3 linked regions of the Kluyveromyces lactis genome follow. The protein of the gene in region 1 binds, or shares a complex with, the protein of each later gene. Links are inferred from orthologs where the notes say so. Each region holds a gene or a part of one and is shown on either strand. Other genes may lie near its edges. The genes, in order: NUP188, POM152 and NUP2.

What was found.
Region 2: NUP188 (region 1) and POM152 share a complex: the UniProt entries of both Saccharomyces cerevisiae proteins name them as parts of the nuclear pore complex. The link is inferred for Kluyveromyces lactis from reciprocal best matches to the Saccharomyces cerevisiae genes NUP188 and POM152.
Region 3: NUP188 (region 1) and NUP2 share a complex: the UniProt entries of both Saccharomyces cerevisiae proteins name them as parts of the nuclear pore complex. The link is inferred for Kluyveromyces lactis from reciprocal best matches to the Saccharomyces cerevisiae genes NUP188 and NUP2.

Annotation. Positions count from the first base shown.
Region 1 is NC_006041.1:972,579-976,337, reverse strand, and holds the start of NUP188 (Nup188p), read left to right. Parts: upstream 1-1,518; coding exon 1,519-3,759. Other genes in the region: RSN1 (Rsn1p), read left to right, coding at 1-154; inorganic diphosphatase PPA2, read left to right, coding at 371-1,264. UniProt on the Saccharomyces cerevisiae protein: Functions as a component of the nuclear pore complex (NPC).
Region 2 is NC_006042.1:1,588,804-1,592,562, reverse strand, and holds the start of POM152 (Pom152p), read left to right. Parts: upstream 1-1,440; coding exon 1,441-3,759. Other genes in the region: putative divalent metal ion transporter SMF3, read right to left, coding at 1-285. UniProt on the Saccharomyces cerevisiae protein: Functions as a component of the nuclear pore complex (NPC).
Region 3 is NC_006038.1:545,741-549,303, reverse strand, and holds NUP2 (nucleoporin NUP2), read left to right. Parts: upstream 1-1,044; coding exon 1,045-3,030; downstream 3,031-3,563. Other genes in the region: SGD1 (Sgd1p), read right to left, coding at 3,130-3,563. UniProt on the Saccharomyces cerevisiae protein: Functions as a component of the nuclear pore complex (NPC).

The sequences.
Region 1 (3,759 bases):
TGTCGTTGAAATTTCTGATGAAGGTGCTCGTTTCACAGAATCTGGCTCTATTGAGTGGGAAACTGCTCCACCTTCTTACAATGATTCTCAAATGCAAGTTGTATCTAATCCGTTTGACGAACAAGATGAAGATAATCTTCAGAGAGAGGAATAATCGTCAAGATCCAATCTAAGCCATTTTCTCTTACCATGTTGTGTAAGCTTTTAATTTATCTTTTTGTAATATTTCCACTAATCACTGATTAAATAATAATTTGTCTATTAAATTTCAAGCTTACCGAATTACAACCAAACACTAAGGAATCGTGGTCCAGTCGAGTCTGGGTATCCCACAGAAAGGATTCATTCCATAGTTGCTGTGTGGGAATTGATGTCTAGAGATATGAGAAGGGCTTCGCAACATTTGAGGTTGATTGGCAACCATTTACATGCTAGAAACTACCACAACGTTTTGGTTGGAAGCAAATACTCATCGTCTTTTAAACAGTACTTGCAGCTGCCAAACGGTGAAATTGGGTCCTATTTCCACGATGTGCCATTAGACTTAGATGTTGATGCCAAAACATGTAACATGATCGTAGAGGTTCCACGTTGGAGTAATGGGAAGTTTGAAATCAGTAAGACCGAACCATTTAACCCCATCACACAGGACATAAAGAAAGGCAAGCCACGATTTGTCAATAACATTTTCCCTTACCATGGATACATTCATAACTATGGGGCTATCCCACAGACATGGGAACAGCCACTTATTGAAGTATTGCCCGGTTTCAAGGGTGATAATGACCCATTGGACTGTTGTGAAATTGGTTCCAGCATCGCCAAAATGGGAGATATCAAAAAAGTAAAGCTTCTAGGGTCATTAGCCCTCATTGACGATGGAGAACTCGATTGGAAAGTCATTTGTATCGACATTGAAGATCCCATTGCTATAAAATTGAACAAGTTGGCAGATGTAGACACTGTTATGCCTGGTCTCTTGGATGCAACTAGAACATGGTTCAGAGATTACAAGATTCCTGCTGGGAAACAACCTAATGTGTTTGCATTCGAAGGTGAGTACCAGGACCAAGCATCTACACTTTCTACGGTACAAGAATGTCACGAAGCCTGGAATGCTCTAGTTAGGGGAGAAATTAAAGCAGATGGATCAGAGGCCGAGATTCCCTCCATTGTCAGAGCGGGAACTCACATAAGAGTTGAACCTAATCAACAAAATGACACACCAATCCCACAAGAAGTGGACAAATGGTACTATGTATGAACTTAAAAGCAGTCAGTGGTCAGTAAGCTTCTTCGGTTAGGTTAACCTGGCACAGCTCATCTCCTCTTATTATGCCTTTATGATATACATGTCCAATATTTTGATGTTACCCTCTCTCATATGTAGTGCAAAATTTTAATGTAAACAAAACTATATTTAATGAAACTATTCGATCTAACAATTAAGACGATGAGACAGTGGTACAGATTCACGTCAACTAAAGGCTATTGCGCTGGCCAGGTGTACCGTGCAGCATGTCATCTTTATCATTTGCTGGAATTTGTGCGTTTCTCCGCTCTGGGGAATACGATAAGGTACATAATGAGCCTACTTTCCAGGCAATCGATAAATTCTTGAAGGACAACGAAGAGATACTGGTTCATCTTTCGAGGTTTACCTCAGTTGAAAACACTGATTCCGTTGGAAAACAGCTGCAATTGAGGGGTTATTCATATAATGTGACGGTAGAGGACGAAAAATTGGCCAATGAGCTTTCAATTGCGTTAAATGTACATCAAAAAGAGTGTTTGAGAGTTATTTCGCAGACCAGGACCAGGTTCCCAGATTGTCCAATGGAAAAAGATACCATCGTTAAACAGATCTTACATGAAAGAAACTGTGTCTTGGATACAACCCTCGTTTTATTAAATCATGATTCTTTCCCAGTTTTAAAGGGCTCCATGTTACAACTTGTCTACAAGAATAGGTCCACAATGATATCAGAAGCAATTCTTCTGGTCAAGAACTGTGTAGCACTTATCGGCTCAGCAGAGCAAAATGATTCTTATAAGAGCTCATTAATGTCGTATGATCTTATTTATATTACAAATCTATTGAATTTGATCGCATTCGTAAGCTTGAATCAACCAGTGGGTCTGGAAATTATCACAAAATGGTACGAGTTGCTCGAAGAAACACAGTATTTCGCCATACTCAAGGATAATAAAGATGTCCCATCAGAGATCTACAACATGGCAAATTCTTTAATGATAATGGATACTATTATAATGACAGGATATAATACAAGCGAAGACACGATAGACGTAAAATCGTCTTTTTTTAATGACGCTGCGACTTTCAGAAGGCTTCTAGATCTCATAATAAACACAGATCCGCCAGCAATTATTGTATACTACTGGTCTTTCATCTTATATTCCAAATCGTATCTGTTAGAAGAAGATCCTGAAAATAATCTGGAATTCGTGCAGCAAGTCTTCAACTCACAACCCATTTCGAAGCTAATCAAAGAGTTTGCCCTTACTGCAGAGAATGAAAATGTTTTCGAAGAGATTTCTAAGGTTTCACAAATATTCAAAGATCAAGCCTTCTTTGCGGCTATACTGACTTCCTTCATCACTTTTTCGTTGTATTTCGTTCCAATCAGTATAAAGACTTCCAAAATGATCAAAACTGTCCTCAGTAACGCACCAACTCATTATGTGGAAAAGTTCTTGACAAACAAAGAATTTGAGAAAAAATTCTTCTTGATAAAAACAAAGGCTCCGCTGTTGAAAGAGTCACTCATTCCAATGATAAACATAACCTCAGCGAATGCTGAATTTGCAAATTTTGAGTGGAAGGAACTTCCCACCTATGTCCAAGAGGTTGTATTGGGAAGTCTAGAGTACGACTTAGCTGATGATGCACACTCAACAGATTTGATATCCATAAAGAGTGAGACCTTTGCTCGAGTACCGTTGGAACCTAGTGGGAATGTTCTCTTACCAATTCCGAAGGACACGAAGGCTAAGATCTTACCTTCAGTAACTAATGATGACGTCGTGATGTTCTTGTATAAATATAACGGTTGGTCATTATTGGGTAGAGTCCTTCAAAATGCATGCGATAGATATCTGTCCACTTCATCTGCTGGTGTTCAAGATTCTGATGTTCAGGAAATGATATTATCAATGCTGGATCTAATTTCTAGTGTTATAGGAAGTGGTATCTCGGTGGAGAAATCGGCCGATATTCTACTACAAATGTCTACCTATCTTACAGAAGATTACATTTTTGATGTTATTTTCAAAGTCTTCGAACAATCTTTGCATTTAAGAGACTATGACGTTATTGATCATTGTCTCAACCTACTCATCAGTTCCATAGATGACTTTTCTCAGTTCGTATGGTCGCATTTAGCAAGATCTGAACTCCTTGATAGGTATGGCAAATCCGGATTGATTTCTAGTGTCTTGGGCACCATGGAATTACCAAATGGAAACTACTCAATAACAATCAAGATTATCAAATTGGCGCAACAATTAGTTCTAGAATCTCTAACACTAGAGACAGAATTCCCAGAAAATCTGAAAAAGGAAATTCTTTCGAAATTCTTTCAGCATTTCATACATGTTTATGAAAGTTATCAATACTGGAACTATCGTTCCATAGCTGAGAAATATGAGCTAGGAACAAACTTAACCATCTTGTTTACGACTGTCGTTTACAATATTTATGGTATCGATCCATCTAATCCGCCAGAAACTAAAATTACT
Region 2 (3,759 bases), on another chromosome or scaffold:
ATTAACACGCTTTGAAAAATGACGACGGCAGTTTTCAGCTAAATCCAAACCAGTGATTGTACCTAGCTTGATGCAGAGGCATTGCAAGACAATCGCAAATATGTTTGAAATGAATGTGATGAACAACAATTTGTATTTAAATTGTGCACCACCTGACACACTAGTAGAATAGTTCCCAGGGTCCATGTATGCAACACTGACCATGATCCCAGGTCCGACAAACTTCATAAACTTCCTCAAAATTTCAACATGGTTCCTCTCGAATACACGAGATAGTATAAGCATGGCAGTTTCACAGTTTAGATAATCTTTAAGTACCAACAGTAACGTGCCAAGAATAAATTACCGTCTTTCGTTCCTTTATCTAAATTCCAATAAACAGAGAATGAAAACAGCAGAACTATCACCAATTTACAACACAGAATATCTGACCTCTATTGAGCTAGCGCCTCAAACTCTTACAGATTCTAACGTATCGTGTTTTAGCAAACTCTCTTCTCGTAAATGACTTATTTGTAAGAGTGCAAATCAAATAAATCAAAACCTTAAATTTCTAAACTTCTTTTATAGAAGGAGATTCAAATGCACCTCTGTAATGTTATATACGACGAACGTGAGAGCTGTATATGGTGTTGAAAACAAATAAGTTCCAGTGCTCCAGTTGTGATTCAAAAAAGGAGACGATCCTGGACAATGGAAGTATCTCGATTCCAACCAAAACATTCTTTTTCTCTCTGGTAAATATATATATTATATATGTTAGGACCCTTAGCTATCATTACTATTACTGAATCTGGCATTCAAATTTGCCGAGGTTTTTATCAGATGAGGTCATGATAAAACTTACCTAATTCAGGATTCATTAGCCAGATGGGGTAAAGACATTTGCTTACTAGCATTTATGTCCTCCTTGCTTCTGACTAGGGTTTTATGAGAGGATGACGGGAATTTGACGGGAATTTGACGTAAGCAATGGAGCTATGCAACGGAATCGACATTATAATATCGATGCAAACGATCTCACTGGTAATTCTGGATAGGCGAAGAATTCAAGAGGCTATAATTCGAATATTAAGACCACAACGTAGTGGCAGATCATATAGAGTTGCTGCGTCCTTGACCATTGTACCTTGATCAGAAGCGAAACCTGAATCGTACATAATGATATATCCGATTCAGATCTTGTCAACAAACAGAAGTTCAAACTTTAAGCTTATGTTTGGTCTTCTCATGTATGCAGATGCAGGCTAGGATCAACAAGCAATCGCGATCCAGGCACCCGTTACATACCAATCGTCAATTAAAAAGCGAGCGACTAAGTGATAAGTTGTATGCGTGATCCCATTTTTTTCTATTAAACTTCTGCGTATTGGCACTTTAGAATCATATTCTGTTGAAAAGGGAAGCTGAGATAAGTTCAGACGCATATACAGTTAGATAATGGATTCCAGTTTCGGAACAAATGGGTTCTATACACATACTCCATCGATGTGGAGTGATAGTAGGCGTAGGAACGTTGGAAATAGAGATAAAGACTCGTTCAGAGGAGGAATAAGCGATCGAAGAAATGAAGAGATCAACAAACCAAAAGAAGATCCATTTTGTATATCCGGTTTTTCCAATTACACAGGAAAATCGAAGTCAAGCACTAGTAGAGCAAAGAATGGCCCAGCGAGTGAATCGATTAAGGAGCTACCTTTGATTTCTACTGAAGTTCTCGATGCAGCCAGTCAGAGAAGATTAGCCTTCGTCGTTTTTTTTATCATTCAATGCTACAAACTATACGATCTAATCCTACTTAAGAGTGGGATACCATTATCTGGGATTTTTCTATCGAATTCAAGGTTAAACTTCATTTCAAAATATTTGGTAATAGACTCTTTGTTCTTTTACTGTCTCCCCACGTTCAAAATACCCAAATTAAAGTTCAAACCACTGATAGTGCTTTTGCAGATTATTTCATCCGCAACCCTCACACTGTTTATCTCCAGTGAACAAAGTATCCCATTGGTATCGCTTCTATTGTCATTATGGAGACAGTATCACAGCAGAGACTTGTCCTTAACAGGTGACTCTGTCAACCCAAGAAAGGCTATGAATTCGGCAGAACACTTCAAAGGTGCACATACCATTAAAATTTTGCCAGAAAATACAGCATATTTGAATCCCTTCCACTCGTCTTTTTGTCTACCACTGGACCAATCTGGTCCTGCCATTGAACTACCTATAAGAGTCAACTCATCATCCACAATCAATACAGTCCAGTTAGAGTTCAGAGATCTATACTCAAATGAAGGTGAACTGTGGAACTTCACCAAGAACGATTTAAAACCACTCAAGGCAGATATTTCAAAGGAAGAAACTGATCGTAACATACATTACTTTACTGTACCTCTTAACAAAATCGGGTTTTACCAGTTGAAAACCGTTCTAGACACTAATAATATCAATTTGAGAATATACAAATCCCAATTAGTGCTACCTCACTGCCCATTGGCTTCCATTAACGGAAAGGGAGAAAATGATAGATGTGTTGGAGATAATGATGAGGTTTCAATTCAGGTACAAGGTGCTCCACCTCTTAAATTGACTTATACTAAGACAATCAATGGCCAAAGATACGTACTAGAAGATTCATCACTTCAACCAGAATATTTTGAATCACCTTTGCTAACGAATTCAAAATTCTACAGTCAAAAAGATGTCCAAGATTTAAAATGGGCTCGTTCGTACCCTGTAGATATCGCATTAGAAACTTCAACCAAAGAATACGGTGAACATGTTTACTCTATCGAAAGAATTGTGGATGGATTTGGTAATAGCATTGATTTTTCCTCATTATCATCACAAGTAAGAGAAAAGTATGATTTGATCCACAGATTCTACGTGCACGACTTACCAAGAGTATCTTTGGATGAAAAAATGAATCCCGACAGTTCTGTTAGAAGGTCTTTAATAGTCAAATTGGACTCTGGCGATTTTAACAAGGATGCTCCATTCATCGTTCAGTTATCCCATGAAGATAACAACTCCAAAGTGAGATACTTCGAAAAACAATTCAATGATAAAACATTAGAATTCAAAGTTGATGAGCCAGGTTCTTATAATTTGCTCTCAGTAAAATCGAGGTATTGCCACGGTGCCGTGATTGGAAAATCTAATGTTCTGATAACTAAACCAATTCCTCCTCAATTATCTGTAAGATCAACCCCAATATTAGATCAATGTGTTGGACAGGTCGGCTTGAATTTTGATCTTACTTTTACCGGTGTTCCTCCCTTTTACTACAAAACAAAAATATACAAAACTGAGCAAGGAGAACGTAAACTATATGATACAAAAAAATTCAGCTCCCAAGGAACCAGAAACCAGTTTACTTATTCACCCACATCAGAAGGCAGTTATGAAATTGTTTTCACCGAATTGTCAAATGAACTTTTCACATCTCCTATCTCCTTAGATTCGAAAGAGTACACATTCAAAACCAGCATGAGAGTGAAACCTAGTGCAAAGATTTCAGGGAAGCTAGAGACAAAATTATGTCTTGGAGGGAAAACGAAGGTACCTATTAAATTCAGTGGTGAGCCTCCTTTCACGTTAAACTATGATTTAGTAGAGACTTCTTCTAATAAGAGAACTTCGTTTAATAAAGAGAATATTCAAAGTTTTTCCTATGAGATCGAAACACCTAATTTCAACATTGGTGGTGATCATATCCTATCTTTAGTTTCTGTGAAGGATTCCAGTGGATGTTTGGTA
Region 3 (3,563 bases), on another chromosome or scaffold:
GTTTTATTTTGTTATCTCTTTCATCGTAATCCCAAAAGTGCTATTCCAAATAAGTAACCACTGCTAGTACACGGCACATACGTTCAAATTCCCTTAGCTGGTTTCTTCTTGAATGAACTCAAAAGTAAATAACCCTATAATAATCAAGGTGCTACTTTAAACAACTTGTTAATATCTCTAAGTTGCAATTCAATGTAAATCAAAAAATGAATATTCAATCCGAAGTGAGTTTGTCCAGGACGCAAAGTATTCCTCTTCCTACCGGAGAAGCAGAGAAAGTGAAGCAGGATAACGAGGATTGCGACAAATGGACTCATTTTGGAAAGGAGATAATTTCCTCTTTAGGAAGGAAATAACGCATGAGAAAATATACAAAGTTCAACTTTCGGATATATAACGTGGTGTCTGGATCCAACAAAACAGTCCCGTAATACAACATTAAAAATAAGAGCGCTATAAAACAGATGTTTCATCTGATAGATTAGCAAGTTTTACACCAACAAGTCCTACATGGTGTTACGGCCATCGTACTTGCCACCTGCGTCAACTAATGAGGTAAGAAATCATTGCACGTGTGTCGGTTATAACGGTGGCTATTGCAAATAATCCCTGAAAGCATAACAACGTTTTATATTCCGATATAGTGTAACGGCTATCACACCACGCTCTCACCGTGGAGACCCGGGTTCGACTCCCGGTATCGGAGGAGAAAGCGATTCGAAAGTTTCGCTAAATACTTTTTACATTTTTACTCCCCTGAGCAACCCATCACAAGCAGAATAACATGTAGTCACGTGTTCAGCATAAGTCATCCCACACGAGTCAACAGTATATTGAAGGATTTAGAATTTCGAGCTGCTTTATTATTATTTCTGGTGTTAGTATCATCAATTCTCATGTTGATGTCTGAATGCTTACACATCAGCAATCCTTAAACTCCTTTTCTGCTACTTCCGGTTGCTTCCCGTTAGTTCAATTCGTTTCTGATTAAGAAAGTGACTTCTCTTGAGCTGATCTTTCCAAGCACAATACTCACTGTAGGATATGTCAAAGAGATTTGCGGGTTCTCAGATGACCAGAGAAGGTCTTGAGAACGGACATAGTAATAATGTTTCAGATGACGAGACTCCATTTGATAAACCTGCCGTTGCCAGCGAATCTGTAATGAGTACCAGAAAAATTGCAATGCCAAAGAGGAAAATGGGAGGATTTACTGCGGGTGATAAACCTAACATGTTCAAAGTGATAAAGGATGACAAGAAACCTCAAGGCACTGACTTAAACGAAAAACTCACGGCATTGAACGTGCAATTCAAAAATAAAATAAATTCTACATTGGAATCAGATCCAGTTGCTGATATTTCTTTCCTGTTCGATAAATACAAGACCTATTCGCAACAGTTAAGGTCAGAAGCGAAAACTAATGGCGCTGCAAACGCTCCTCCAACTAGCTCATTCACATTTGGTACCACATCAGCAAATGTGGAGAAACCTAAAAATCCATTTGCATTCGCAAAGCCTAGCGCAGCACCATCATTTGCTCTACCTTCGGAGGTGACTAAACCGACAACGACCGTAACGGAAGAGAGACTGCAAGATAAAAAAGAACAAATTGAGATTAACAGCGATAGTGATTCTGAAGAGGAAAAACCAGCCGTTAATGTTGAAGGCCCAAAGTTTGTCTTGGCTAAGAAACCAACGACGTCTGATCCGCCTTTCAGCTTCGGTGGGAATAAGCGTAAGGAACCTGACAGCGATAGCGACAGCGAGATAGAGATCAAGGGACCCCAATTTACGTTTAATGGGACTGTATCGTCCAGTGCCTTTACTTTACCAAAGAATGATGCTTCAAGGACAGAGGAATCTGAACCAGCTGAAAAACCAACGGATAACAAGCCAGCTAGTATATTTGGGAACTCTTCACAATCTAAACCAACATTCCCTCCTTCTGCGTCCGCACCATCCATAGAGAAAAATGAGGGAAGCAAACCAGCTCTTCCTGCCTTTGGGTCAAATAAGGCTGATAATGGTAATTCATCATCTCCGTTCTCATTTTCTTTCAGCAACAATAAAGATTTGGCCAAAGAAAGTGAAAATAAAAAGGAAGAAGCAAAGCCAGCTAGCACCTTCGGTACATTCTCTGCCCCTGCTCCATCGGCGGACTCTAAACCATCGTTTAGCTTCTCTGCTCCAGTGCAAAGGACAGCAACTGAAAACAAAGATTCATCAAAGCCTTCCTTTACATTTGGAGCTATGGGCAAGGAAAACAGTAATGATGAAGCTAAAAAGCCTTCTTTCACATTCGGTACCTCAACAACCTCTGAAAAACCGGCTGAGTCATCTAAACCTTCATTTACATTTGGTAAAGCTTCAACAGGCTCCACTCCTTTCACTTTTGGAAAACAGGAGACCGACAAAAAAGATGAGAAAAAACCTACGTTTACGTTTGGGGCAACAGCAGCATCAACTGTACCAGCATTCAGTTTTGGTGCCAACAAATCTGAAGAGGCGCCTCCACAAGGTGAATCATCTGGCTTCAAGATCTCTTTACCCTTTGCCTCATCTGCTCCAACATCTGATAAGGATACTGCCAAGGAAGTTAGTGAAAAAAACAGCGAAGACGCATCTGCTGAGGCACAAGAAGAGCCATCTAAAACTTTGAATCTATCGAACGGTGAGGAGAATGAGAATCTACTCTTTTCGCAACGCGCCAAGCTAATGATTTTCAATACTGAGACGAAAGCCTATGATTCCCGTGGTGTAGGTGAATTGAAGGTTTTGCAAAACAAGGAAGACAATACAAAAGCAAGAATACTTTGTAGGTCAGACGGTATGGGTCATATTTTGCTAAATACTAGTATTATAAAGTCATTTTCCTATGAAGCATTAGATCCAAATAATGAGAATTTGGTTAAGTGTCCTGCAATTAAAGCGGAAGGAGGGTTAGACACATACGTCGTAAAAGTGAAACAAAAGGCTGATGGTAGAAAATTAGTACAAGCGATCAAGGATGCTCAATCACCGATGTAAAATTAAGTACATTTAACTGTTAATTAATAGAACTATTTGAACTTAGTTCATATATGCATGTGTAACTATTAAAATGGCAAAAAAAAGTACTTAAAATAGTCAATCTTCAGCACCTTTGAGCTCCTCTTCTATCAGTTTTTTGAAAGATGCAACTGCCCAAGACAGTCTTCTACTTTCTCTATCATGTTCTTTTGAGCCTTTCATACCTGAAATATACTTGATATAATCAAAATGCTTAGATATAAACCATCTTAGCGCTTTTAAAATAACATTCTTATTCTGAATGTTAATACCTTTCTCGATCAAAGAAGACAAACCATCAGAGTTATACTCAAATGTTTTCTTTCCATCTCGTTTGATCTTTATTTCGGCTGCCTTACCTTCGGAAAGGAACAACTGGAAAAGCAAAATATCAAAGAAGATTATTCCATCTGAGTTGAGTCCTGCCATTAACGGAACATGCTTGAAAGCATCAAGTTTCAAGTGACCTTCTGCTATTAAATGGCCAAAGAATCGGCCTTGCTTAGCCAATC